Mus musculus: one gene and its partners. The protein of the gene in region 4 interacts with the protein of the main gene of each other region in a pairwise test. Links are inferred from orthologs where the notes say so. Each region holds a gene or a part of one and is shown on either strand. Other genes may lie near its edges. The genes, in order: Tnni2, Pdhb, Usp13, Trim63, Tcap, Pkm and Gmeb1.

Region 1 (3,984 bases), on a different chromosome or scaffold from region 4:
AGAGGGCAATTGAGGGGGAGTTGTGGGTAGGTACAGCTTGTGGAAAAGACCTCAAGACCATGAGGGACTGTGATACAGTGTCTTATGCACTATCAGCAGGGGGCAGTAGATGTCTTTGGAAGCTGCTCTGGAGCCTTTGGGGGCTCACAGCCCTGGCTTGTGATATACCTCTTAATCCCAGCACATCTGGCGGGCTTTAGCAGCTCCAACCCTCCTCTGATCCCCAGGGGCCCCAGAGCAGCAGGGTTGGGGCCAAGCCATGATCTGGTGTCTCTGGGTGGGGTTCAGAAGCGGGAAAGGAGTAAGGGCCTGGCCCCAGTGAGCCGGGCAATGCAGGGCCTGCCTAGGCAACCAAGGGCCCTGAGCCCCCACAGGTCAGAGAAAGGTTCCTAGGGCGGTGGCACCACTCTCTGGGGTTGAAGGACATGTTTCAAGTTGCCTGTGCAGAGGCACCCATGGGCAGGGTGTGTGGCAGGCGGAGAGAGGCCCGGCTGCTGGTCCAGGGACCCTTTTGCTTCTCTCTTCCTGGGCAGAAAGGCAAGTTCACTATAAGAGGTGGGCACCACTCTCCTGAGCCCTGACTGCCTTCCACACAGGGCCTAAGAGAATGCTTTTGTTTTTGTTTGGTGTGTGTGTGTGTGTGTGTGTGTGTGTGTGTGTGTGTGTGTGCGCGCGCGCATGTGCGCTCAATTTTGCAGGAAGACTGGTGAGGTGAACAGTCAGCCCAGGGGTCCAAGCAGGGCATGAACACCCAGCAGGCAATGAGCGGCCAAGTGGGTGCAAAACTACAAGACCACACATACCATTTGACAATGACTCCAGTTCAGCCTACTTTTGGTGAAGTCCGGTTTCCTTTGGAGGAAGACTTCAGTGGATGTTTGAGCTGGGTACCTTGGAGACCCACATGGAAGGTTACCCTTGCTGTCCTGAGGGCTCTTGCAGGAACAAGGCTGGCATCTTGAACTCGTCATTGAGACATAAATAGAGCAAACCACCCCCAACTCCCCACCCCAAGACTTCTTGGACAGGCCAGCGCCTGGGCTGACCGGCCAGGCGGCTGGGCAGGTGGAGAGGCTCTCCTCCTCTCTGTGCCCCCATTGGTCTGAGGAGACTCCATGCCCTTTCTGAGCAGGGGCCCGGCCCAGGGAAAGCAATTTATACCCCTCCCCCTGGCCCACCAGCCCAACTCACTGCTGCCGGCCTGACCTCGCTCCCAGCACTGCTGCACAGCATCTAGGTGAGGCCCAGCCCATCTTCTTGAGGTGGGAGACTAGAGCACTACTCAGGCTGGCTCATAGGAGGACTTCCCCGGGCAGGGGCTTGGGGGTTTGGGGGTCTGCTGCCGACAGCTCTCTCTGAGGTCTCCCACAGATCTAGGGTTGAGAGCAACATGTGCTACTAGGATAGGACAGGGGTCTACAATGGGCCTCGGATAACAGGCCCTGTCTCTGGGGACACACAAGCAGGAAAATGTTCAGGTCAAGCAAGTAGGGACCTGAGCCCCCAGGCCACACAGAAGAACACTTTCTTCCGTGCATTCACTTCTCAAGCCAAAGGAGCAAGAGTTAAAAATAACAGGCTCACCCTGGCAGCCACCTGTGCTGGCCAGCCCCACCCCATCCCTCCCTCGGGGACAGCTGCAGCTCCTCAGGCCCCGCCCGGGACATTTTGGGAACACTTTCTCCTCTTACTTCTCATCTTCAGGGTGGGGGTGGGGGGTGATGTCCTCTGAGAAGGTCTGAGTTGCGGGTAGAGCAGAAGTAGCCTAGCAAGGCCAGGTCTCCATGCCTAGCCTCACGCAAGGCGGACACTGACACCATCACCTCTCTCCCCACAGGATCAGAGCTTGAGATCTCAGGATGGGAGAGTAAGTGATACCCAGGGTGACCCGTACTGCAGTCCCTCACCAGGGCTTGGGTCTCCTATCTCCCTGCCCTTTGTGGCTGCCGCCCAACCCTTCAACCCCATCAAACCCTAGGTTTCATGGCTACTCCTGTGAGCCACAGTCTAACTTCTCTTTTTTTCTCCCACTCCCACCTCCCTCTTCCTCCTGGGACAGTGAGGAGGTGAGTATCACTAGAGGCTATAATAGTCCCCTGAGGCTAGGACAGAAGACACCCCTGTCAAGGCCCCCAAGTGCCCCACCCCCTGAACTACCCCCAGAGAAAGAGAGGAAGTGCCTGCCTGGTGCTTTATGAGGCAAGGGAAGTAAGACTTGGGCCTAGTCACAAGGGAATCACTTCTCCTTTCTAATTTCTGTTCACCACTCACCTTCCGGGCCTCCCCTTGCCCACAGTCCCTGAGGCCTGGCTATATCCTGCCTCCTTATCCCCATTACCCCCTTCAGCCCTATGTACCACCTAAGCAAAGAGTCAGGACCACAGGCATGTGTCCCTGAAGCAGGCCCTGGACTAGGGAAAAACACCAGGGCCCTGGGCAGTGGCCTTGTTATCTCCTTGGGAACCCCAAGTCAGATGACTCTAAGCAGGTCAGAGCTCCAGCTAAGGCCTGACTCTGACCCCTCTGTCCTGTCCTGCAGAAGCGCAACAGGGCCATCACGGCCCGGAGACAGCACCTGAAGGTAAGGGTGGGCTGCTGCAGAGGCCTGTGGATATAGAGGTAGGGGTGGGAGTTCACTGCAGACCCTCACTCCCACCATTCTGTTTCTCAGAGTGTGATGCTCCAGATAGCGGCCACAGAGCTGGAGAAAGAGGAAAGCCGCCGAGAATCTGAGAAGGAGAACTACCTGTCAGAACACTGCCCGCCACTGCACATCCCAGGCTCCATGTCTGAAGTGCAGGTAGTTCCTTCCTGCCCCGTACCACCCAAGACCCTACTATCCCAACTCCTCAGCAGGTCAACCCTCCTGATCAGGACTGGGAGGGAACAATGATCCTCAGGTATCAGGGTGGCCACCCACCCACTGCTTGCCCACCCAGGAACTCTGCAAACAACTGCATGCGAAGATCGACGTGGCTGAAGAGGAGAAATATGACATGGAGGTGAAGGTGCAGAAGAGCAGCAAGGAGGTGAGAGGGAGGAGCCCGTGGTGAGGGGGTGGGGCATATGGCATGGGGAGGAGCCAATGGTGAGGGGGTGGGACATATTGCATGGGGTGGAGCCAGTGGCTTGCAGGGTAGCACAGGCGATATGAAGGTGGAACCAGCTGCTATGGGATGAAGCCAGGTGATGAGAAAGTAAGGCCAAAGATACAGGGCAAGATCAGGGACATGGAGGCTGTCAGGCTCCTAAACCTCCTGTTCCTTCCTCCCAGCTGGAAGACATGAACCAGAAGCTATTTGACCTGAGGGGCAAGTTCAAGAGGCCCCCACTTCGGAGGGTGCGTATGTCTGCCGACGCCATGCTGAAGGCGCTGCTGGGCTCTAAGCACAAGGTGTGCATGGACCTGAGGGCCAACCTGAAGCAGGTCAAGAAGGAAGACACTGAGAAGGTAGGTCAGGGCCCAGGGGAGAGCCAAGAGGGAGAGTCCACTTACAGTCCCTTTCATAGATAGTAAAGCAAGGCCAAGGGTAGTCTGGAGCAGACTGGAGTGGATCTGAGACCTCTCTGGTCCTACCCTCAGGAACGGGACCTGCGTGACGTGGGTGACTGGAGGAAGAATATTGAGGAGAAGTCTGGCATGGAGGGCCGGAAGAAAATGTTCGAGTCTGAGTCCTAACTGCCCACTTCCCCAGTACCACCCTAGCATTGGGGAAGCACCCAACATCCAGTCTGGGAGTACTTGGCCTCGCTCCAATAAAGGATTCACATCTCTTTCACAGTGTGGTCTAGTTCTGTCTCTGCCCACTCTGGAGTCCATCATCAGTGACCAGCAGTGTGGCAGGAGAGAGGCCATACTGCTTGGGTAGAATTCAAAGACCCTGGGCTGTATCCTGTAACTGGTGGGTGTGGTCAATGTCTGGACCTGTCTAACATGACAGAACGTGGAGAAAGATGACCATGGACTCCAACATATCTGAGTGG
Region 2 (2,251 bases), on a different chromosome or scaffold from region 4:
CAGAAGCTATGAATTGATGCCTGTAATCCCAAGACTCAGAAGATGAGAAGTAGAATCATGGTTTCCAGGCCACCTTGAGTTCTGTCATCAGTCTGTCTCTGCTTACAGCCAAAAGTGGCTGCTGTTCCGCACACAGACTCTGGGTCTCAAGTTAAGACCCAGTCTTGTTAGGCTGGGGAAGTGGCTTAGTGAAGTTGCTCTCAAGCATGGGGAGCCGAGTCCGGATCCCAGCACTCACATAAGAACAATGGCAGGGGTGGGTGGCAGCATGGGCTTGCTACCCAGCACTGCGGAGACCCTGCCAGGAGGATCCCTTGGGCTTGCTAGCTTGGCCAGCCAGTCTAGCCAGCCAGGTCCAGATTCAGTGAGACCATTTCTAAACAAACAAGGAAGAGAGCAATTGAGGAAGAAACTGGAGGTCACCTGTGTGTGTGTGTGTCCAGTCAGAAGATCCAGACTGGCAGCTGGACTTTACTATCCTGTGTATCAAGTAGTGCTTCTTGGGAAGTGTCGCTGTGCTTCGTCGGCTATAAAATGTGGATAATAGGACCTCTCAACCATAGGGGATCATGCTGTAGGCCCAGTGCATATTAAACTCTCAACTATATTTTTGATAAGAGGGATATTGAAACCAAGGAGGATAATGAATTCTATAGGTGAGCAAAGCTTCCTGTGATGGGGTGACAGGCTTTAATTGTAAATTCCCCCTTTACTTTTGTTTGAGATAAGATCTCACTGTGTTGCCAACACAGTGTCATCCTGCCTTAGCCTCCTAAGTGGTGAGCTTACAGGTGTGTGGCACTGTACTGCTTTTCCTTAGTCGATACAGTCGTGTACCTGTTTCTCCGATTCCACAAAGCCTGTTTCCTTGCCTTGTCTTCATTTAGGTAATAAATCTGCGCACCATCAGACCAATGGACATCGAAGCCATAGAAGCCAGTGTGATGAAGACAAATCATCTCGTGACTGTGGAAGGAGGCTGGCCACAATTTGGAGTAGGAGCTGAGATTTGTGCCAGAATTATGGAAGGTATTTCAAAGAACCTGGTTTTAGAACACAATCAAGCTGTACTTGAATGCCGACTTGTAAGAGATCAAAAGCTAGGGGTGACCAAGTGAATTTTCAACTTGTCAGTCTAGGGTTTTGTCTTTTGGGTAAATGTTTTTAAAAGTCAAGCCAAAAGTAGAGTCCTGTAACTACGATTCATTCTCTTCTTGAGTCCCGAGTCTGCCTCTCAGGTGAGCCATCTCTCTTCCTTAGGCCCTGCATTCAACTTCCTTGATGCCCCTGCCGTGCGTGTCACTGGTGCTGATGTCCCTATGCCTTACGCAAAGGTCCTAGAAGACAACTCCGTACCTCAGGTCAAAGACATCATATTTGCAGTAAAGAAGACTCTGAACATCTGATTCGGACTTTGAATGTAAAGTCATTGAAATCTATTTAAAATCCTTGTTGGGACTTCACCTGATGTGTACTGCGAGACTGCTAGTCATAAAGTTAATGCTGAAGTGACAGCAGGTGTCTGAACTGTAAGAAGTTTCAATGTGCTTATGAGTGGAATGTTGTCCACTCCCTACCCTAGATACTCTGCTTTGTCTGTTACTGTTTAAGTTAAATTTGCCCTCTTTCACTGGAAGGGGCAAGATAAGAATGCCCCCACAGAAGGTAACTTATATGTCTAAGAAGTATATTATCTACATTTGCTGTTTAATTGTTTTGATAAGGAATAAAGGGGATTCCCACCAATGAAGTCTTGGAGTACTATTAAGAAATTAGTGTCAAGCTGGGTGGTGGAGGCCCATGCCTTTAGTGCCAGCACTCTGGAGTGAGCCTCAGGAGGCAGAGGCAGGTAGATCTCTGAGTTCAAAGCCAGCATGGAGTACATTGTGAGTTCCAGGATAGCAAGGGCTACCCAGAGAAATCCTGCCTTGAAAAACTACATACATACGTATAGACGTATATTAGTGTCAAATAACTGATATGCTGTATATAAAAACTGTAGATTCTTAGAGTAGTTTTTTAGAGGATTTCAGTGTGTCTTTGGCTGGCCCAGAACTCAGGATCTCACAGATCTACCTGCCTCTGCCTCCAGAGAACTGGCATTAAAGGTGTGTGACACCACACCTGGCCCAAATTGAAGCTTTTTATTTCCAGAGCAATGCTCGTAATAGCCAAGCGCTCTACTACAGAACTCTATTGCTTTTATTCCTATGTCTGAAACTTTGCCCCAAACTGCAGAACTAAAACCAGA
Region 3 (3,500 bases), on a different chromosome or scaffold from region 4:
TTCACCTAGTGCACAGACATGCAGCAAGCCACTCATATATATGTAAGTTTTTAAAACATGGCACACTGGCAACAGATGTAAGACACAAAAAGCATTTTAAAAGATACCTACGGTCTATCAACTGGTTCATCAAGCGGTCTGGAAATGAAGGGACAGTCAAAAGTGAGAGCGAGCTAACCATGGCCAACAGTTTTAGATAAGAGATTCCCAGACCCTCTCACTCCTGGTTACCCCACACACACCACCTGCAAAACACAGTTCATTACAATAATGAGGGGAAACAGCAGGCTTTGGGCACTTAGATGCAAATAAAACAGGAAGTTCTGACAGCTCGGTGAGCTAAATAATTACGATCCTTGCATGTATTTGTAAGAGCACTGTCTAACTGCAAATCAAGGGTTCTGCCTGAGCTTTATTGATAGGAGCAGTGTGGAAAACCACCTTGGCCTTCTCTCACGCTCAGTATCGCCTGTCTGCAAGCCCCCTCTGGAACCACCTGCCGACAGGACTCCAAATCAGTGACGTCGTCACAGAGTGTACGTGTCTCAAGTTCACAGTGGCAGCCAGGTTTCATTCCTATGTGTCTAGGATGACCTCACGGGAAGCAGATTGGTGGCAAAACACAGTGACTGTTCCAGGCTGGTGGAGGAGAGAGTGTCCTTCCAACTGGGCAGTGGTTCTCAACCTTCTTGATGCTATGACCCTCTTGTGGTGACCCCCCCAACGACAAAACTATTCTCGTTGCTACTCCACAACTGCAATTTTGCTACTGCCATGAATTGCAATGTAAATATCTGATGTGCAGGATATATGACATGTGATCCCTGTGAAAGGGTCATTCAACGCCCCCACCACCAAGGGTCGCGACCCACAGGTTGAGAACCACTGCAGTAGGCGATGGTACCTTTTGAGTCATCAGGAATGACTATGGGGGGGCTGATGTCAGGAAGCTCCTCTTCCCCTGGCTGCAAGCCCCTGGCTCTGAGATGGCTGATATCTAGTAGGTCTGGCATATCAATAGAAACATCTGCAAAACAAAAGATCATATTCACTGGACTCTCCCGCGCCCTCGGTCAGATCATTATAAATCTGCTTGTGCTCACTGCATGCATGTATGTAGCCAGCCTACGGGACACTCAGCACAGCAGACTTGTCAAGCCACATGGGAGGTTATTGGAGGGCTCAGGGGAAGGGCAGAGAGTGGTGGGACAGAGGTGCCAGACTGGACAGCAACAGGTCAGGTGAGCCAGAGATCACAGACCGGCAGCCCAGGCTATCTGTGGCCCAGACTCATTCCATTTGGTGTTCTTGAGATATGGACAGATTTAATGTTAAAATGCAGACTTCTGGATTTCAAATACCACAAAGCTATAGCACATTCTCCTGTGTTAACTGTCTGAGCTTCCCCTCAGCTTCCGTTCTGGACAATGGTGGCTGCTGTGACCATTTCACACTGATGCCACTGCTCTGAACTGCCCCAAACATGAACAGCATGCTTATGGAAAAGCACATCTTCCTAACCCATGTCGTAAGGCACAGCGGAACCCTCCGAGAGGGTGGCTCGTGTACCCTTTACCCAGCAGCTCTCCTTTCCTGGGTGCTGCTTCCCCTTCCTTGCACATCTGAGTTCGAAAATCCTAATTGATACTTTTTCTCGAATGGTGACAGTGACTGTGATGATGCTAAGTTATAAATCACAAAGCTCAAAAGAACCTGGCTGAACCTTAAGTGTCTTAAGCATCCGTGGCTGCTCTGGGAGAAAAATAAAGCCCTCATGCCTCAGTTGCCACTACATTCGACTTGCTCAAATGCAAGATTTATAAGCCTAACAGCTGCTGCAAGGCAGTGCTGCAACCTATGCAACTAGGAATAGAAATGAGTCTAAGTACAACTTAGCTTTGTCCTTCAGACCTGGAGACCAACTGCCTCCAAATGACGCCAAATATGTAAATCCTATTTAAGACAACAAGGCAGGTTGGGCATGGTAGCACATGCCTGTAAACATAGAACTTGGGAAATGGAAGCAGGAAGATCAGAAGTTCAAGGCTACCCTCATCTGCACAGGTGAATTCAAGGCTACCCTTGGCTACATAAGATCCTGTCTCAAAAAAAAAAAAAAAAAAACAACTAAACAAATAAATGAAACAATAACCCAAGAACAAAAGCTAAGACAGAAGAGTTAAATTTTAAGGACCAGTAAAACTAAACACAAGGTCAGATTCACAAAACGGACACAACTGTTCCTTAAGAGAAAAATCCAGGCCCTACCTTGAGATTCCTTTAAACCTTGGTCAATAAAATCCGGCTTCCTTTTTGTTCCTTCACAAAAATTCAAAAGGAAAAGCAAGCAAACAAACAAACCAAAAACCCCGTCCACAGCAATCCAAAGCCTGAATGGGTCAAAATTCTCAAGTATCTCAACCTTCTCAGAGGCCAGTGGAGAACAGAGTGGTCAGCACCCTGCCCTCAGACCCCCTCTGCTCCCTAAACTCTCCCAGCAAGAAAATCAAGGGTCTCCTGGGCACTGGGAATAGCTCAGCACAAAGGGTGATAAACTGGCACTCTGTGCCCACCAGCACCAGGCCTCCTCAGAAATCATGCTGGCTGTTCTTCCTTCTGTCTCCAGGTCCCCTTCTACCCGTGTTTGGATGACTCTTAAGGCTTTCATCGTTTTGTTGTGTAAGTGCCCAAAAACAAGTCTGTAAGAGACTGGCAGTTTGAAGTCCTTGCTAGAGAAGCTACACGGAGTGAGATGCAAATCCTTGCACAAGCCTGGAGGTCACTTAAGACTGCTCACATTCAACCCTGGTGGCTAAGGAAATGGTCTTTATGCCTTATCTGGAAAATGGGCCTCCCACACTGACCAAGGACCTTGAGTATTGATGAAAAGGCAGCCAGTGAAGCCCAAACCACATCCTTCTATCAACTGTCCAAATCCAATGTTTCCAAGTGGTTGGGAGGAAAATGTGTATGATTTAGATGAATATCACATACATATAGTACTGCTGTATCTCAGAGGCAGGGAAGGGTGCTAAGAGGAAGTTATACCTCCAGCTACCTACTACTACAAGTGTGGCGTCTGGACTGTCAATGCCAACACCATGCGGTAGGTTAGAAACATGGTCGCTCAGCCCACCTACACCTGCCAATCAGGATCTGCATTTTCCAAAGATCCCAGGTGACCTGTGTGCACAGTAACTTCTGAGATGCGCTGTCGCAAGGAGTGTACTTCCCCTCTGAGAACCTGATCCTCCCAGAGCTCAGTGGTGAGGGTGTGGTTAGCATATGGTGTTTCTTATGGTAGTGTTTCTCCTAGATTCTGGGTCCAGAGAAACCTGGGAGTAACAGAGGAAACAATGGGGTGGAAGGGACGGGGCAGACGTTCCCACAGCCTCTTTCACATGCCATGTCTGGTTAGGTGGCTCACTCTATAGTTTAAGCGAAAGCATGCAAAGGATACCTACCAAATTTTCTGGGAACCCAGTCAAGACCAAAAGTGA
Region 4 (3,500 bases):
TCTGTATCATTCCAGAGCCCCTGAGTTTCCATAGTCCTGAGTCAAGTGTGAGCTTTTAAAGTCTTGCTCTACAGCAAAACGCTGGAAACATTCAGGGAGTAATTGGGTCTCTGCAGTCAGGGACCAACTGGGGTCTGTCTTGTCCTTCAGCAGGGTCAGACACAGCTGCTGTGTTCACCGAGGGAATGAAGAAATGACTGTGTCCTTTCCTGCCATCTCTATCTTGCACCCAAGATCCAAACCCAAATTGCACTCATAGCTCAGAACTTGCCCAGAGAGCAGCTGCGCTGGAGGCTTGAACCCCTCACCGCTGGCAGGGCAGGGCAGCTCTGCACCCTCACCTTGGTCACTCTGCAGGAGTCCTCCAGCTGAGAGATGATCGTCTGCACTCGGTCGTTGCCCGCCACCAGCATGGAGATGCAGTTACTCAGCTCAGTCTGGATGGGAGGGGGGGGGGGAGAGACAGAAATAGACTCAGAGCCCGCTGTTTCTCCAGTGTTATAGCAGTCACCAACAGGGTCGCTATCCCTCTTTCTGGGGTGCAGCTCAGGTCTAAAGCAGAGACTACCACAGATGTATCCTTTATGGATAGATGAGGCCCAGAGAGGGGAACCAAGCAACCCAAAACACACAGCAAGGCACTGACAAAGGGACAAAGGAAAACCCCTTCCTTCCTTCCTTCCTTCCTTCCTTCCTTCCTTCCTTCTTTCCTTCCTTCCTTTTCTTTCTTTTCCTTTTCCTCTCTCTCTCTTTCTCTCCTTCGCTCTCTCTCTCTTCCTTCTTTTCCTTTTTCCTCCCTCCCTTCCTTCTTTCCTTCCTTCCTTCCTCTCTTTCTTTTCCTTTTCCTCTTTCTCTCTTTCTCTCCCTCACTCTCTCTTTCTTCCTTCTTTTTCTTTTTCCTTCCTTCCTTCCTTCCTTCCTTCCTTCCTTCCTTCCTTCCTTCCTTCCTTCCTTCCTTCCTTCCTTCCTTCCTAATATGTAAGTACACTGTAGCTGTCTTCAGACACCCCAGAAGAGGGCATCAGATCTCATTATGGATGGTTGTGAGCCACCATGTGGTTGCTGGGATTTGAACTCAGAACCTTCAGAAGAGCAGTCAGTGCTCTTAACCACTAAGTCATCTCACCAGCCCCCCTTCCTTCCTTCCTTCCTTCCTTCCTTCCTTCCTTCCTTCCTTCCTTCCTTCCTTCCTTCCTTCTTTCCTTCCTTCCTTCCTTCCTTTTCCTCCCCACCCCCCTCTCAAGACAGGGTATTATTGTGCTGCTTGGCTGGCCCAGAACTCAATATATAGACTAGTATAGACTAGGTTGACCTCAAATTCATAGTGATCCAGTCTCTGCCTCCTGAATGCTAGGCTTAAAGGCCTGCACTACCATCCCCAGCTGCTACTTTCTGAGAGAAGGAACAGAATTGGAAAGTTCTAGCAGAGAGAGCCGAGTGGAGTGTTACAAACACACTGCTCAGAAAGTAGGGCTACAGCTCACTCCATGGCAGGATGCTGGGTTGCCATGGTCCAGGGAAGAGCCTCAAAGCTGCCTTAGACTTCAAGAGAGGCTCTGGTGGAGAGGTCTGGGACCACAGACTAGCAGACAGGACAGGGAAGCCATGGCCTCTTCCTTCTGGTCACACCCAGGTGCTCTCAAGTGGCTCTAAGTATAACCTATGAGCTCAGCCACCTCCCCCAGGGAGGCAACGGCTGTTGTCCCTGTGGCCTGGGAAGTCCCTCCAGAGGGACTATTCCTGAAAGGCCGGCTCAGCACATCCACAAGGGTCAAGTCCACCCCCAGAATCATCAGGGCACAGCAGCTGTAGCCAGTACCTTCTGTCCTTGGAAGATGCTTTGCAAAGGGGCAACCTCACAGGCCTGGTGAGCCCCAAACACCTTGCACAAGGAGCAAGTAGGCACCTCACACGTGAGACAGTAGATGTTGATTTTCTCGTCTTCGTGTTCCTTGCACATCGGGTGGCTGCCTTTCTGCAGGGGCCGACTGAGGTGGAGGAGAGTCACAGGTCAGGGTTGTCCCATCTGCCTGCCCCATCCTAGCTGCGAGCACAGGAAGCCACGCATCCGTACGTCAGCTCCCAGTGGGTCAAGCTGCTCCAAACATTCTCCTATTTAACTTCTGGGAACCCAAGGTCAAGGTAGCTAATGCTAGCAAGCAAATCTGTTTCCAGCCTTTAAACTCAGGCTCTGCTCCATCATTGGACCTGACCTGAGTTGTTACAGAGGGCATGGGGCGACCCCCAGAATTTCAGTCAGACCAGAAGATGCTCACAGGGTGGGAGACGCAATGGAGTTGCAGCAAATAAATGGACTTGCCCAAGGTGGCCCAGCAGCACAGCCAGAGAGGCCAGAACTCCTATGCTCTAATTTTAGCCCCGTAGATTTGGTTGCTGGGGCCTGGGCCGTTTATTCTGATGGCAGCCTTCACGTCTATATTTAATCTATGAGACTGTATCCTCCAACTGGGCAGGGAAGCCTGCCTGTATTTCTTCCCTGAGTCTATAACATACAGTACCTGGTGTGGAGACCATGGAAGCAAAATGCAGGTAGAAAGAGTACGTCAGTAAACGCACCCTGAGGGCATCCTGGAGTTCAGAGAATGAGGCAGCCTGTGCACTCTAAGCCATACAAGCATCACGTGGTCGGGGGCGCTACACAAAGGCTCTCCAGGGCCCAGAGTCTCTTCTATAATTTTAAAAACTGCATTTATTTAGTATATGTGTACTGGGGGTGGGGTATGTGTGCCACACGGCATCCATGGAGGTTGGAGAACAGCTTGAAGGAGTTGGTTCTCTCCTTCCACTATGTGGGCTCAGGGGATAGAACTCTGGTTATCAGCCTTGGCCTCAAGCACCTCTACTCACTGAGCCATCTAGCCGACCCCAGAGTTCCTTCTTTCTGTCTTCTCCCTTTATGGCTTCCTCCACTAGGGTACCTGGGATGTCGCTTTCCAACATCAGTTGTTTCCCATTCTAGACGGGGGTTTTAGAGTTGAGGCTAACTAGATCTTCCATTCCTTTAGGATAGGCTGCCGTGTCTTCACTCCCCCCTGCCCCCCCAGTCCCTTACAGCAATTCACTTCCAACAGTGAGCATCCCCCACAGGTCCGTGTGGCCCCTCCCACAGCCCTGCTGGTCACGCCAGGCTTTTCTGCCCTCTTCAGGAGCCTCTTTCCAAACACTTGGTTTTGGTTTTTTTCATCTTTGAGCCCAGGAACCCCACACTGTGGCCATCATGATGGGGGTTTCCCTGGCACCACACCATCTTGGCGATGCCCAGGGAAGGCATTAGCATTAGGCTAACATGAATATACTATAAATTTTGTCATCATCATCACCACCCAAAATAGGCATCTGAGGCCTGAGAAGATGGCGCAGGAGATGAGGGTGCTTGCAGCACAAGGCTAACAACCAGAGTTCCTTCCCTGGGACTCACAAAGGCAGAAGGAGAGGGCTGATTCCACAAAGTTGTTTCCTGACCTCCACACATGGGCCAT
Region 5 (2,882 bases), on a different chromosome or scaffold from region 4:
GGCCAGACACCCAGGCTGGGATGGGGATCATCACAACAGCTGCAGAGGTCACAGACAGGAACTTAAACCCTGTCCTCCCACCCAGGCCAGGGACAGTGGGACACCTGATGCCAGCCAAGGATTGATTCTGTCTGGATCTACAACTGACAGGCCTTAGGGTCACTGACCCCATCCACACCCCAAGGCACAGCCAAGGACGGCCCTGGTGCCAGCCCCTTCCATAACCTCCTCCACAGATATCATTTAAACAAACCTTGAAGCCAGCTGGCCTGCTAGACACGCTCCAGTGCCAGGAACTGGACATGAAGCCAGGGCTGGGCAGTGGCACAGGAAGGGGGACCAGACATTCCCCCTGTTTACAGCTCTGCCCCTGTACCCCACCCCTAAGCATGGAGTGTACCCTCTGGTTATGCCAGATTTAGCTCCAATGCTTGGCTGTTCCCAGAAGTGCACGGTGGACATTCATGCCCACCCCAACCACAAAGAAAGAGAGAAGCGTGGAACATGGCTGAGCATTTATTGCAGTGCTACCAGAGGGTGCTGGGGGCCTGCCCACTTCCACCCTCTTCACATCCCCCTCCTTTCCAGAGCGTTGCACATCCTTCTCCTAGTCCATCTGTTCCCGAGCAGGCCATTCCCAGGGGCCTCTCCTCTCACCAGGATCTCTTGTCTCTTCTTCTGGGGCTGAGGGTGCTCAGCTCTCCACTCCTAGTGCCCGCCATCCTCGCTCCCTTCCCTGTGGGGACTCAGGACACCTAGGCATCCTGGCCTCGGGCTCCCTCCTCCCATAGCTCCCACCTCTGGGCAAACTACAAAGCAGCCACTGCCAGCAGCTCTCCTCCATTGTCCTAGCCAGGAAGTGCCTAGCCTGAGACAGACACAGTGGAGTCTGAGTCACACAGTCCATCTCAGCCTCTCTGAGCTTCCTGAGACATGGATCGAGACAGGGTACGGCGCAGGGGCCCGGGTTTGCTGACTGGCACCACAGGGGGAAGCTGCTTTGTGATCTCAGCCACGTCCTGGCGCTCCACGCACTGGCCGCCCAGGGCCGTCTCCAGGGCCAGCAGCTCCCGAAGCTGGATGGGGGTCTCCTCGCGCTCCTCCTTGGAGGCCCCCACCTTGGTGGGCGTGAAGATGGGTAGGGGCAGCACCCGCTGGTACGGCAGCTGGTATTCCTGTAGCCCACGGCCGAGGATACCCAGGCGCATCACCAGCCATGGTGAGCGCTGTACCACCGCCTGACACTGTCCCTGCCGGTGGTAGGTCTCATGCCTCTGTGTATCCTCCTCGTGCAAGGAGCATCTGAAAGTGGAAAGGAGACAAAGGTGGTGAACTGAGGGCAGCTCTTCTCTGGTCTTGGGCTAAGTGGGGTCTCCCTGGCATAGCTAGTTCCCTGGAGCAGGGGAGGGGCCCCAGAAACTTCAGGGGCTTGTACTCTGATATGTAGCAGGTGCTTTGGGGGAGCAGAGGCAGAGCCTCCCAATGATTCACACTCACCCCTCTTCCGGCCGGGTAGACAGAGTCAGGTCTTTCCACTCAGCCCAGAAGGCTTCCCTGCGTTCCTGGTTCTCCTCAGACACTTGGCAGCTCAGCTCTGAAGTGGCCATGATTTCTGATTGCTCCCTCTGCTATGTCCTGCTCCTCCAGAGCCCTTTAAATAGCCCCTTCTTCCCCCTCTCCCCCTTCTCCAGGGGCTATTTTCAGCCCCTCTGGCGTCAGATGCTATAAGCAGAGCCAAGACTCACTGGTGGTGATGGGGCTCTGAGTCCGGGGCGGGGGTTGGGGTACCCAGATTCTGGTTGCTCCCAGGTCAGAGGTCAGCTTTCAAAGCCTGCAAGATGCTCTGTTGGGGACCTGGGTTCTCAGAGTAGCACCTCTGGGTGTCTGGCATGCTGCAAACACCACCTCGGACCAGGCACATGGGCAGCCTCGTGCCACCTTGGCACTGTCTTCCTCTGCTCCCCCCTTGCTCAGGGAGGACAGCAGCTTGTCTGTAAACAGAACAGGAGAAGCAGGAACTGATGCCCTCCTCGATCTGCCCCATGCTACCCGGATCGTCTCTCCTTCCTGAGCTCAAGGGCACATACCATAGTGAGGTCCCTTGACCAGAAGGATCACATAACCGAGTCTTCGGGTTGCCTGTACAGAAAGCAACACACCAGCAGGGGAGAGGACACTTCTGCCACACCCGACCTCTGGGTATGAGTCTGTGAGCTTTCATTCCTCAGGGCCAATCATTAGAGAAGTGTTCTCCTAAATCCCACCAGTCGGGGTGAAGGAGGTAAGAGTGGGGGAGGTGGCCCCTTCTCCTCTGCCTGCATGGAGAGAAACACTGTGAGACAGAAACAGAGAAAGCCCATTGAACAGGGTTAGGAGATCCAGACCAGCCTCAAGCTGGCTCTATTTTATATAATCATGGAGCAGTCTCTACCCCTTTCCAAGTCTCCCTTTATCTGCTTTTCTTTCTCTTTCTTCCTTCCTTCCTTCCTTCCTTCCTTCCTTTCTTTCTTTCTTTCTTTTTTTCCTTCTTTCTTTCTTTCTTTCTTTCTTTCCTTTCTCTTCCTTCCTTCCTTCCTTTTTTCTTTTTCTTCCTTCCTTTCTTCCTTCCTTTCTTTTTTTCCTTCCTTCCTTTTCTCTCTCTCTCTCTTTCTTTCCTTCCTTCCTTCCTCCCTTCCTTCCTTCCTTCCTTTCTTTTCTTTCTTTTTAAAAAGATTTTATTTAATTAAAGTATATGAGTACACTGTCATGTCTCAGACACACCAGAAGAGGGCATCAGATCCCATTACAGGTGGTTGTGAGCCACCATGTGGTTGCTGGGAATTGAACTCAGTGCACTTAACTGCTGAGCCATCTCTCCAGTCCCTTATCTACTTTTCTAGCCA
Region 6 (3,500 bases), on a different chromosome or scaffold from region 4:
ATAGCAAATCTGTGCTCAAACACACTATCACATGTGATTCCCTTTAAAAAGAAAATGAGAATGCAAAGATTACATCAATGAGCCCAGAGGGTTATCTAACATTTCATTATGGCAGTAAATTGTTTAATGTTATGACTAATTAATTATAATTAATCTCATCAAATGCCACCTTGGGCAAGGTCTTGCGGTCATATAAGTCACCCAGAGCTATACAAAGATAAATCCATGTATGTGACTGCATGGTTTAGACTACCTGGTCTTGTTCCTGACCACTCTGAGGTGATAAGACAACTAAGCAGGTGACTAGAAAAGAAGGGGGTTTGGTGTAGATCAGGAAGGCACACAGACTGCTGGAGAAGGAATGTCTGCATGCTAGCTACTGAGAAGCTGTGAAGATCAGCTCCCAATACCAATCAGATCAGGAGGTGACCAGCTGAGACAAGCTGAGTTCAAGCTTCTACAAAACGGCTGGTCTGTTTCAATATAGGCACACATCTGGCTACAGCTACAATTCAGATAAACCATGGGTAGATCATGGAATCTACTTAACAGCTGTACACAAATGAAGCAAGGTAAGATGTCTAATCCTGAAGGGGGCTTTTTTTTCTTTCAGTTTGGGGGCTTATTGGAAACTGGAGACACAAAAAGAACAGTGGTTCTTTGCTGGCCGAAAAGGGAATAGAAAAGCTCCAAGAAAGTTAGCCAACAATGCTTTCATGAGGCAAGGAAAGGTCCTAACTGGCGCCCTAGCTAACTGCTCTGCTCAGGAAGTTCTGGGTCCTCACCCATCACAGTCAGCAGGAGTCAGGTCAGCTGGAAGTCTGTTGTTTCTGTAAGATAATGCCTTATTCTAGCCCAGCCTAGCCTCAAGCTATCTTCCTGCCTCAGGCTCTGAATGCTGGACCTCCAGACCCTATCTTACTGAAACCAGAAGACTTAGTCAAAAAGAGCATAGATTTGCCCAGAGAAAGTCTTTATAATCTCCAGTCCAGAACCTGCTAAATTCAGCACCCATTCCCCACGCCCAGAGCTATTTCTAGCCCTACATTGGGTTTGGCATAGCAAGAGACGTCCCATGTGACAGGCACCATGCAAGGCCAGCTCAAAGCAGCTTAGTATGGCTACAGCCTGCAGTGCAGAGAAGCATCTGCTCATGGGACCATCAAGAGATCAAATTAGAAGCCAAACCAGGCGAACAGCCAAGAATACACACTCTTGGCTCCTTTAGAATAGAGGCCGCCCCGCCGTCTGGGTGTTCAGGAGGGAGGAAGGTATCCCTTGACTAAGTCCTAGGACTTTAATATTTTAGCCAGATGTGGCCTACGTAATGGAAAAGGTAATCGCCAGAGCAGGACAACGTGGTGGGGCGCAGGCAGCGAGAGCACAACGTGAAAATCAAGAAGCAGAGCATGCTCCACACACCTCACTCTTCTGGCCGTGGTCGGAGGGAGGTAAAAGACTGGGTGATGCAGAGGCCTTGGTGGTAGGCTTGGAGGACTTACCAGGTGCTGCATGCGAACAGCCTCCAGAGGGTAGTCCCCCTTGGCTGTTTCTCCAGACAGCATGATGCAGTCTGCTCCATCCAGGACTGCATTGGCCACATCACTGCCTTCAGCACGGGTGGGGCGTGGCTTCTTGATCATGCTCTCCAGCATCTAGGAGGGGACAGACAAGGGCTCTCGGTAAAAGACCATCACTAAATGAGATCCTAGGCCATCTTCAGTGATAATTGCCAAGATAATTCCCTTAAGATTGTGCAGGTGCACAGATCACAGCTATGTGTGCCCAAAGGACAGGACAAGGCCAGGTCTCCTAGGTGGAGAATGCAGAAGGAATGAAATAGCACATGCCTGTGTGGCACAGATGACAGGCTTCCCAGCTCGGTTGCATCGCCCGATCATCATCTTCTGAGCCAGGAAGACCTTCTCTGCAGGAATCTCAATGCCCAGGTCACCACGAGCCACCATGATCCCATCACTGGCCTCCAAGATCTCATCAAACCTGGTAAAGAAGAGAAAGATAATAGAGGACAGGAAGCACAACCAAAGTACCTGGGATCCCGACAGAGATGCTTTCAAAGGTCACACCCAGGGGCACACAGGCGAGGGGGCATCCACAGCACAGTATGATAATACTCACAGCACAACAATTTTACTGGCTGGACTTCTTAAACACCATAATAAATATTTCAGGGAGGTTTTGGTCTGCATCTCACCCCCCACCCCGTTTTGTACTTCCCTAATCGACACTTCAAAGACAGAATGAGGCCAGTGGATCTTCTACAAAGTGGATCATCATTTAGCTAAGGGCACTGACTGCTGCCCTTTGAGCTGACCCACTCCCCAGCCCCAAATACCAAGGCCATCAGCACCTATGGCTTATCAAGATAGAAAGAGACTCCCAGTTGCCCAGTACAAAGGACACAGAGCCAAGCCCACTGTAACCCACAGAAGCAGTTCTAGGGGAAGCAGTAGGGAGAAAGCCAAGTATGAACATTTGTCAATAAACCACTCATCCTTATGAATGCCACCTTAATTAATTTCCATTTACGTAGGCATCATGCTTCTCTATGGGAAGCTGAATGGGCCACTCCTCATCAGCACCATTATCAGACCAGAAGATTTCTAAGGCTTCAAGCTTTAGCATGGACATCTGAGGCCCTTGAGTATCCAGCCGGGTCCCAAAATGATGACTAAAAATACTTGGCCTCCCTAATGCTGATTCAGATGTCCGCCTGGACCAATCCCAGCAGGCTGTATTTTGCTGAGCAGGTATCCAGGACACACCATGGCCACACCCCTCTCAAGGGCTGGGCAATGGAAGGGTCTCAGGACTCACCTGCGGACGCCTTCATGGTTCTCGATTTTGCTGATGATCTTGATGTTCTTGCCCTTCTCTCCCAGCACCTTCCTGACTTCATGCACGTCGGCTGCCTTGCGGATGAAAGATGCAAACACCATGTCCACATCCTGCTCCACCCCAAACTTCAGGTCCTGGATGTCCTTTTCCGACACAGCGGGGAGATCCACAGCAGCGCCCGGCAGGTTCACGCCCTTCTTGCTGCCCAAGGAGCCACCATTCTCCACCTCCGTCACCAGGAAGTCAGCGCCTGTGTGAAAGGGATCACAGAAGACCACCTCAATTTACAAGAAGCAGAGGGAGGAGGACTCTAAAGCCATAATTAAGACTCCAACACACACAAAACAAAAACCAAACCAAACAAAACACTTCAGGAAAGCCAAGTCAGTTTTCTCACCTATAAATACTTACTTACAAACTGCTAAGAAAATTTGAGTTTTAGGTATGGTAGCACAAGAGGCAAATGCAAACAGACCTTTGAGTTCAAGACCAGCCTGGTCTACACACACAGTTAATTCCAAGTCAGGCAGGGCTACAAAGGGAAACCTTGCCTCAAATTAATGAATAAACAAATAAATAGCCACACGAGGTGGTGTACATTCTTTTTTGGTTTTCGAGACAGGGTTTCTCTGTATAGCCCT
Region 7 (3,972 bases), about 2.1 Mb from region 4:
CTTGAACTTTCAATCCTCCTGGCTCAGTCTACAGAGAGCTGGGATTACAGACAAGTGCTAACCGGCTGCTGCTCTGCAATTATTTTCAGGGAAGAAAAAAAAAAAGCCTGGTTACCTGAGTTATAACTCTAAACCTCATGTAAAGATAAACGGAGAGAACCAACTCCATAAAATCCTCCAGCCTCTACCCACCTGCACACCATGGCACAGGCACCCCTCCCAACATTATGCATATAGCATTATAAACTTAAGAATATTTAAAGTGAGCAGGAACAAGGCATAGCAGCACTCTGGGGGTAGAAGCAGAAGTGTTAGGGATTCAAGGTCATCTTCAGTTACATAAGAAGGCTGAGACTATACAAAACCTTTGTTTAAAATAAAAACAAAAACAAAAAAAGGAGATGGGTGCCTGCCTGCAAGATGGCTCAGAAGGTAAAGACAGGCTATTGTTATGGAGCATAAAAACCTGAGTTTGATCTGAAGGACACAGGCAGTGGAAGGAGAGACTCAAATCCTGTGTTGTCCTCTGACCTCCACAAGTATACCAGCAAGGCAGGCAGGCAGGCAGACACACCAATATACACACACAGACAGTGACAGGAACATATACATTTTTGCTGTTGTTTTGAGACACAGGCTGGAACATGCAATGTAGTTGGCCTCAGACTAGGATATCTGCCTGCTGCTGCTTTACAAGTGAGTGAGGACAGGAAGAACAGCGTGTGCCACCGTGCCAGGTAATAAATCTAAATTTAAAATCTTAGCCCAGGAGAGGCAGAAGCAGAAAGATATGCAAGTGTAAAGTCGGTCTGGTCTACACGGCAAGTGCCAGTCAAACCAGAGCTACAGAGAAAGATGCCAAGAAAATAAAAAGAAAGAAAAGAAAAGAAAAGCAAGCACGTGCTTGGTATGATCATCTCCCATCTACAAGCACGAACCTGGGCATCTGAGGCAAGACTACCATAAGTTCAAAGCCAGCCAGGGCTACATAGTGAGCCCCGGTGTCAAATAACTAACATACAGAGCAGCCTGGCATATTTTGGAGGCAGAGGCAGGTGAAATCTCTTTTGAGTTTGACACCAGCCAAACTAAAAGGAGACTTTATCTCAAAAAGAAACAAACAAAAGCCAGGCAATGATGGCATATGCCCTTAATCCCAGCGCTCGTAAGGCAGAGGCAGGTAAATCTCTTGAGTGCAAGGCCAGTAAGGACTACAGAGATACCCTGTCTCAAATACCTAAACAATTGGAGGCCAGTTCCAAAACAGCCAGAGCCACACAGAGAAACCCAGTCTCAAATAAATAGCCAAAACCAACAACAAGTCTCCAATTTGCAACTTTATTACTTAAGCACAAAACTCACTAAGTCCACCGTATGCACTTGGTTGTTCAGCCAAAGTGAACTCAGATATAATGAACCCAAGGTCATTTCACTCTGCAGGAAGTATCCAGAGGAAGTGAAGTTCTATATAAATCACAGATTGGATGGAGACTCCTATATAGGTGTTTGAAGGAATCAAGGAATACGTTTTTAAAAGTCACCCCTCTAAGAGTGTAAGAAATCAAAACAGGGCCCAAACTAACCCAACAAAGCTCAAATACACCTACTCAATGAACTTAAGTATAAAAGAAAAACAAGTTATTATATGGTTGAAAAATTAGAAGCGTTAGGCCCAAGCTCTTATGAAAACGTTCCATAATACTAGCCAAGGAAAGGGGGCTGGGCAGATGGCAAGAGTGTACAGATGTGGAGAAAACCCCTACTTCCTGGTTCTCCTAGAGTCAGTAACAGGTCGCATTTTGAGAGCTCAGGGTTTCCTTGCTCCTTGGACAGCCAGGTCAAGACCCTCGGGTAAGATTCTGCCCACATTTCTCTTGCCTCTCAAACCGAGGACACCTGGCCAATTCCCTGTCATTTCTGAAAGCAAGGGGTACCCTCTTCCCAGCAAGTACCTTCTCACTAACCCCATAACCTTAGGCTTCCCTCGTCTCCTGACGCAGGAAACCACCCTACTCTCCACCTAGCCACCGGAGGCCCTCCACTCTGAAGCCCTCACGGGGACCCTTCTCCTTCTTACTGCCCTTCATCTTGGGAAGGACGCTGCCTCCTCTCCTAAGCCCTCCAAAGGACCTTCCTCCTCCTCCTCCTCCTCCTCCTCCTCTCCAGGTCTGGTGGCCCAGGCCTCTCCCCTCGGGCGAAGGCTTGACCCTATTCCCTGCACCCCACCCCCACCCCAGCACGCCGCCCTCTCCCCCGACCCGGCCCGACCCAGGCCTGACCCAGCTCCTCCGCGCAAGGCCCAAGCTCCCAAACCCCGTATTTTTGGGGTGGGGAGGGATTCCCCTGGCCCCTCCGCGAGGACTTCCGGGCCCCTCGGTCCGGGGGCGCCGAGCCTTCCCCACCCCCCCAACCCCCGCCCAGTACGGGGTTCGTAGGACCCGGAGCCTAGGCCCGGCCGGCCACGCTGGGGGCGGCCCGGCGGCTCGGGCGGACCCAGCGGCAGCGTCCCCCCACCCCCCCCGCGGCGCCGCGACGTCCGCTCGCTCCCCGGCGGCGGCGGCGGCACGCACAGGGCGTGGGGAGGCGCCCGCGGAGGCAGCAGCCCCCCGCCCCCTGCGCGCCCGCCCGCCCTCGCCCTCGCCCTCGCCGTCGCCGTCGCCGGCCGCCGCGCGGCCCCCGCGCCCGCCCCCCCCCGCCCCCAGCCCTCGCCGCGCCGCGCGCCCACCCCTCCCCCTCCTCACCGTCTCCGTCGGGCGGGCGGGCGGGCGGCGAGCGGCCAGGGCGGGCGGGCGACGGAGCATGCGCACAAAGCCGCCACGGCGGCCGCCGCCACCGCCGCCGCCAAGCCGGGCTCCAGCACTTCCGGCCGCCGCGGCGGGCGAGCCGGCGCCTTAAAGGGGACGCGTCCTTATTGCGGGCCGCGCAGGGGATACACCTCCCCCCTCAGCCTAGCGATTTAGGGGAGCCTGAGAGCTTAGGCCTTCGGTCCTAGAAAGGCAGTGTTGGAGAAGTCGCGGGAGGCCCCAGGGGACTGAATAAGGTTTAGATGCAGAGGTCATCTCGCCCTGACTCTTGTGGAGGACTAGGGCTTTTCTTTCTCCAAATCCTCTTTATTGACGCTTACAATTTATCAGGATTTCAGGTTACCAATGTGGAATGAAAAGATGCTGCTGAGCATAGATAGTAACCCCTTCCCGCGTCCAAACCATGGCTCTTTGCGCAGGTTTTCCTGCTTGTCCGGGTTCGGAGTTCAAATTTGAACTTCCTTGGAACCGGTACAACAACTGTGCAGTGACTTGACAACTCTAAGCCACCTATTTCCCGAAAGGTACATGTCGTTCATGTACAATGAAATGATACTTGAAAAGTACTTGGGCAAGTTTCTGAGGCCGGGGAATAGTAACTGACAAGCTTTAAGGCAATGTGGTCAGGCCTTGGGGTTAGATGCTTTTGGTTTATAAATTCCTCAGAGCCACCTTACTCTTTCATTCTCATCTTTGAAAGTTAAACAGGAACGTCGGCACGTGCTGGTGGTACACGCTTTTAATTCCACAATTCCTGTCTAGCCTGGTCTACATAGTGGGTTCTAGGCCAGCTGTGGCTACATAATGAGACCTTGTCTCAAAAAAAAAAAGCAAGCCAAACGTAGAGATGAGGGGTGTGAGGAGGGAAGTAGGTCGGTAGGTAGAACACGTGCAGAAGACCCACAAGGGTTATTTCCCATCTTTCTTCCTATAGACATTGTGTTGTATCTGTCTTCTTTGCTTCCAAAGGGCAGGTTGTGGGCTGTGTGTGTGTGTGTGTGTAGAGATGGCACGTTGGGTGCAGGCTCCTGACCACCTGAGTTCCACCACTCGAACCTACATAGTGATTTTTTTTTTTTTTTTTTTTTTAATTGAGACAGGGTTTTCTGTGTAGCCCTGGCTGTCCTGGAATTCACTTTGTAGACCAGGCTGGTCTCGAACTCAGAAA

The links.
Region 1: the proteins of Trim63 (region 4) and Tnni2 interact in a two-hybrid assay, tested with the Homo sapiens proteins (2 studies listed by BioGRID and IntAct). The link is inferred for Mus musculus from reciprocal best matches to the Homo sapiens genes TRIM63 and TNNI2.
Region 2: the proteins of Trim63 (region 4) and Pdhb interact in a two-hybrid assay, tested with the Homo sapiens proteins (2 studies listed by BioGRID). The link is inferred for Mus musculus from reciprocal best matches to the Homo sapiens genes TRIM63 and PDHB.
Region 3: the proteins of Trim63 (region 4) and Usp13 interact in a two-hybrid assay, tested with the Homo sapiens proteins (2 studies listed by BioGRID and IntAct). The link is inferred for Mus musculus from reciprocal best matches to the Homo sapiens genes TRIM63 and USP13.
Region 5: the proteins of Trim63 (region 4) and Tcap interact in a two-hybrid assay, tested with the Homo sapiens proteins (3 studies listed by BioGRID and IntAct). The link is inferred for Mus musculus from reciprocal best matches to the Homo sapiens genes TRIM63 and TCAP.
Region 6: the proteins of Trim63 (region 4) and Pkm interact in a two-hybrid assay, tested with the Homo sapiens proteins (3 studies listed by BioGRID and IntAct). The link is inferred for Mus musculus from reciprocal best matches to the Homo sapiens genes TRIM63 and PKM.
Region 7: the proteins of Trim63 (region 4) and Gmeb1 interact in a two-hybrid assay, tested with the Homo sapiens proteins (2 studies listed by BioGRID and IntAct). The link is inferred for Mus musculus from reciprocal best matches to the Homo sapiens genes TRIM63 and GMEB1.

The regions. Positions count from the first base shown.
Region 1 is NC_000073.6:142,440,632-142,444,615, forward strand, and holds Tnni2 (troponin I, fast skeletal muscle), read left to right. Parts: upstream 1-1,184; 5' UTR 1,185-1,237; intron 1,238-1,837; 5' UTR 1,838-1,859; coding exon 1,860-1,867; intron 1,868-2,059; coding exon 2,060-2,066; intron 2,067-2,539; coding exon 2,540-2,581; intron 2,582-2,671; coding exon 2,672-2,800; intron 2,801-2,939; coding exon 2,940-3,029; intron 3,030-3,274; coding exon 3,275-3,451; intron 3,452-3,583; coding exon 3,584-3,679; 3' UTR 3,680-3,779; downstream 3,780-3,984. UniProt on the Homo sapiens protein: Troponin I is the inhibitory subunit of troponin, the thin filament regulatory complex which confers calcium-sensitivity to striated muscle actomyosin ATPase activity.
Region 2 is NC_000080.6:8,165,491-8,167,741, reverse strand, and holds the end of Pdhb (pyruvate dehydrogenase E1 component subunit beta, mitochondrial precursor), read left to right. Parts: intron 1-887; coding exon 888-1,029; intron 1,030-1,260; coding exon 1,261-1,406; 3' UTR 1,407-1,751; downstream 1,752-2,251. UniProt on the Homo sapiens protein: The pyruvate dehydrogenase complex catalyzes the overall conversion of pyruvate to acetyl-CoA and CO(2), and thereby links the glycolytic pathway to the tricarboxylic cycle.
Region 3 is NC_000069.6:32,911,626-32,915,125, reverse strand, and holds part of Usp13 (ubiquitin carboxyl-terminal hydrolase 13), read right to left. Parts: coding exon 3,465-3,500; intron 1,028-3,464; coding exon 905-1,027; exon of another isoform or gene 655-904; intron 246-654; exon of another isoform or gene 139-245; coding exon 112-138; intron 1-111. UniProt on the Homo sapiens protein: Deubiquitinase that mediates deubiquitination of target proteins such as BECN1, MITF, SKP2 and USP10 and is involved in various processes such as autophagy, endoplasmic reticulum-associated degradation (ERAD), cell cycle progression or DNA damage response.
Region 4 is NC_000070.6:134,318,120-134,321,619, reverse strand, and holds part of Trim63 (E3 ubiquitin-protein ligase TRIM63), read right to left. Parts: intron 1,989-3,500; coding exon 1,820-1,988; intron 438-1,819; coding exon 342-437; intron 1-341. UniProt on the Homo sapiens protein: E3 ubiquitin ligase. Mediates the ubiquitination and subsequent proteasomal degradation of CKM, GMEB1 and HIBADH.
Region 5 is NC_000077.6:98,382,572-98,385,453, reverse strand, and holds Tcap (telethonin), read right to left. Parts: upstream 1,644-2,882; 5' UTR 1,608-1,643; coding exon 1,498-1,607; intron 1,303-1,497; coding exon 909-1,302; 3' UTR 501-908; downstream 1-500. UniProt on the Homo sapiens protein: Muscle assembly regulating factor. Mediates the antiparallel assembly of titin (TTN) molecules at the sarcomeric Z-disk.
Region 6 is NC_000075.6:59,670,076-59,673,575, reverse strand, and holds part of Pkm (pyruvate kinase PKM), read right to left. Parts: intron 3,110-3,500; coding exon 2,839-3,109; intron 2,002-2,838; coding exon 1,851-2,001; intron 1,656-1,850; coding exon 1,503-1,655; intron 1-1,502. UniProt on the Homo sapiens protein: Catalyzes the final rate-limiting step of glycolysis by mediating the transfer of a phosphoryl group from phosphoenolpyruvate (PEP) to ADP, generating ATP.
Region 7 is NC_000070.6:132,258,750-132,262,721, forward strand, and holds the start of Gmeb1 (glucocorticoid modulatory element-binding protein 1), read right to left. Parts: upstream 2,801-3,972; 5' UTR 2,742-2,800; intron 1,852-2,741; exon of another isoform or gene 1-1,851. UniProt on the Homo sapiens protein: Trans-acting factor that binds to glucocorticoid modulatory elements (GME) present in the TAT (tyrosine aminotransferase) promoter and increases sensitivity to low concentrations of glucocorticoids. Also binds to the transferrin receptor promoter.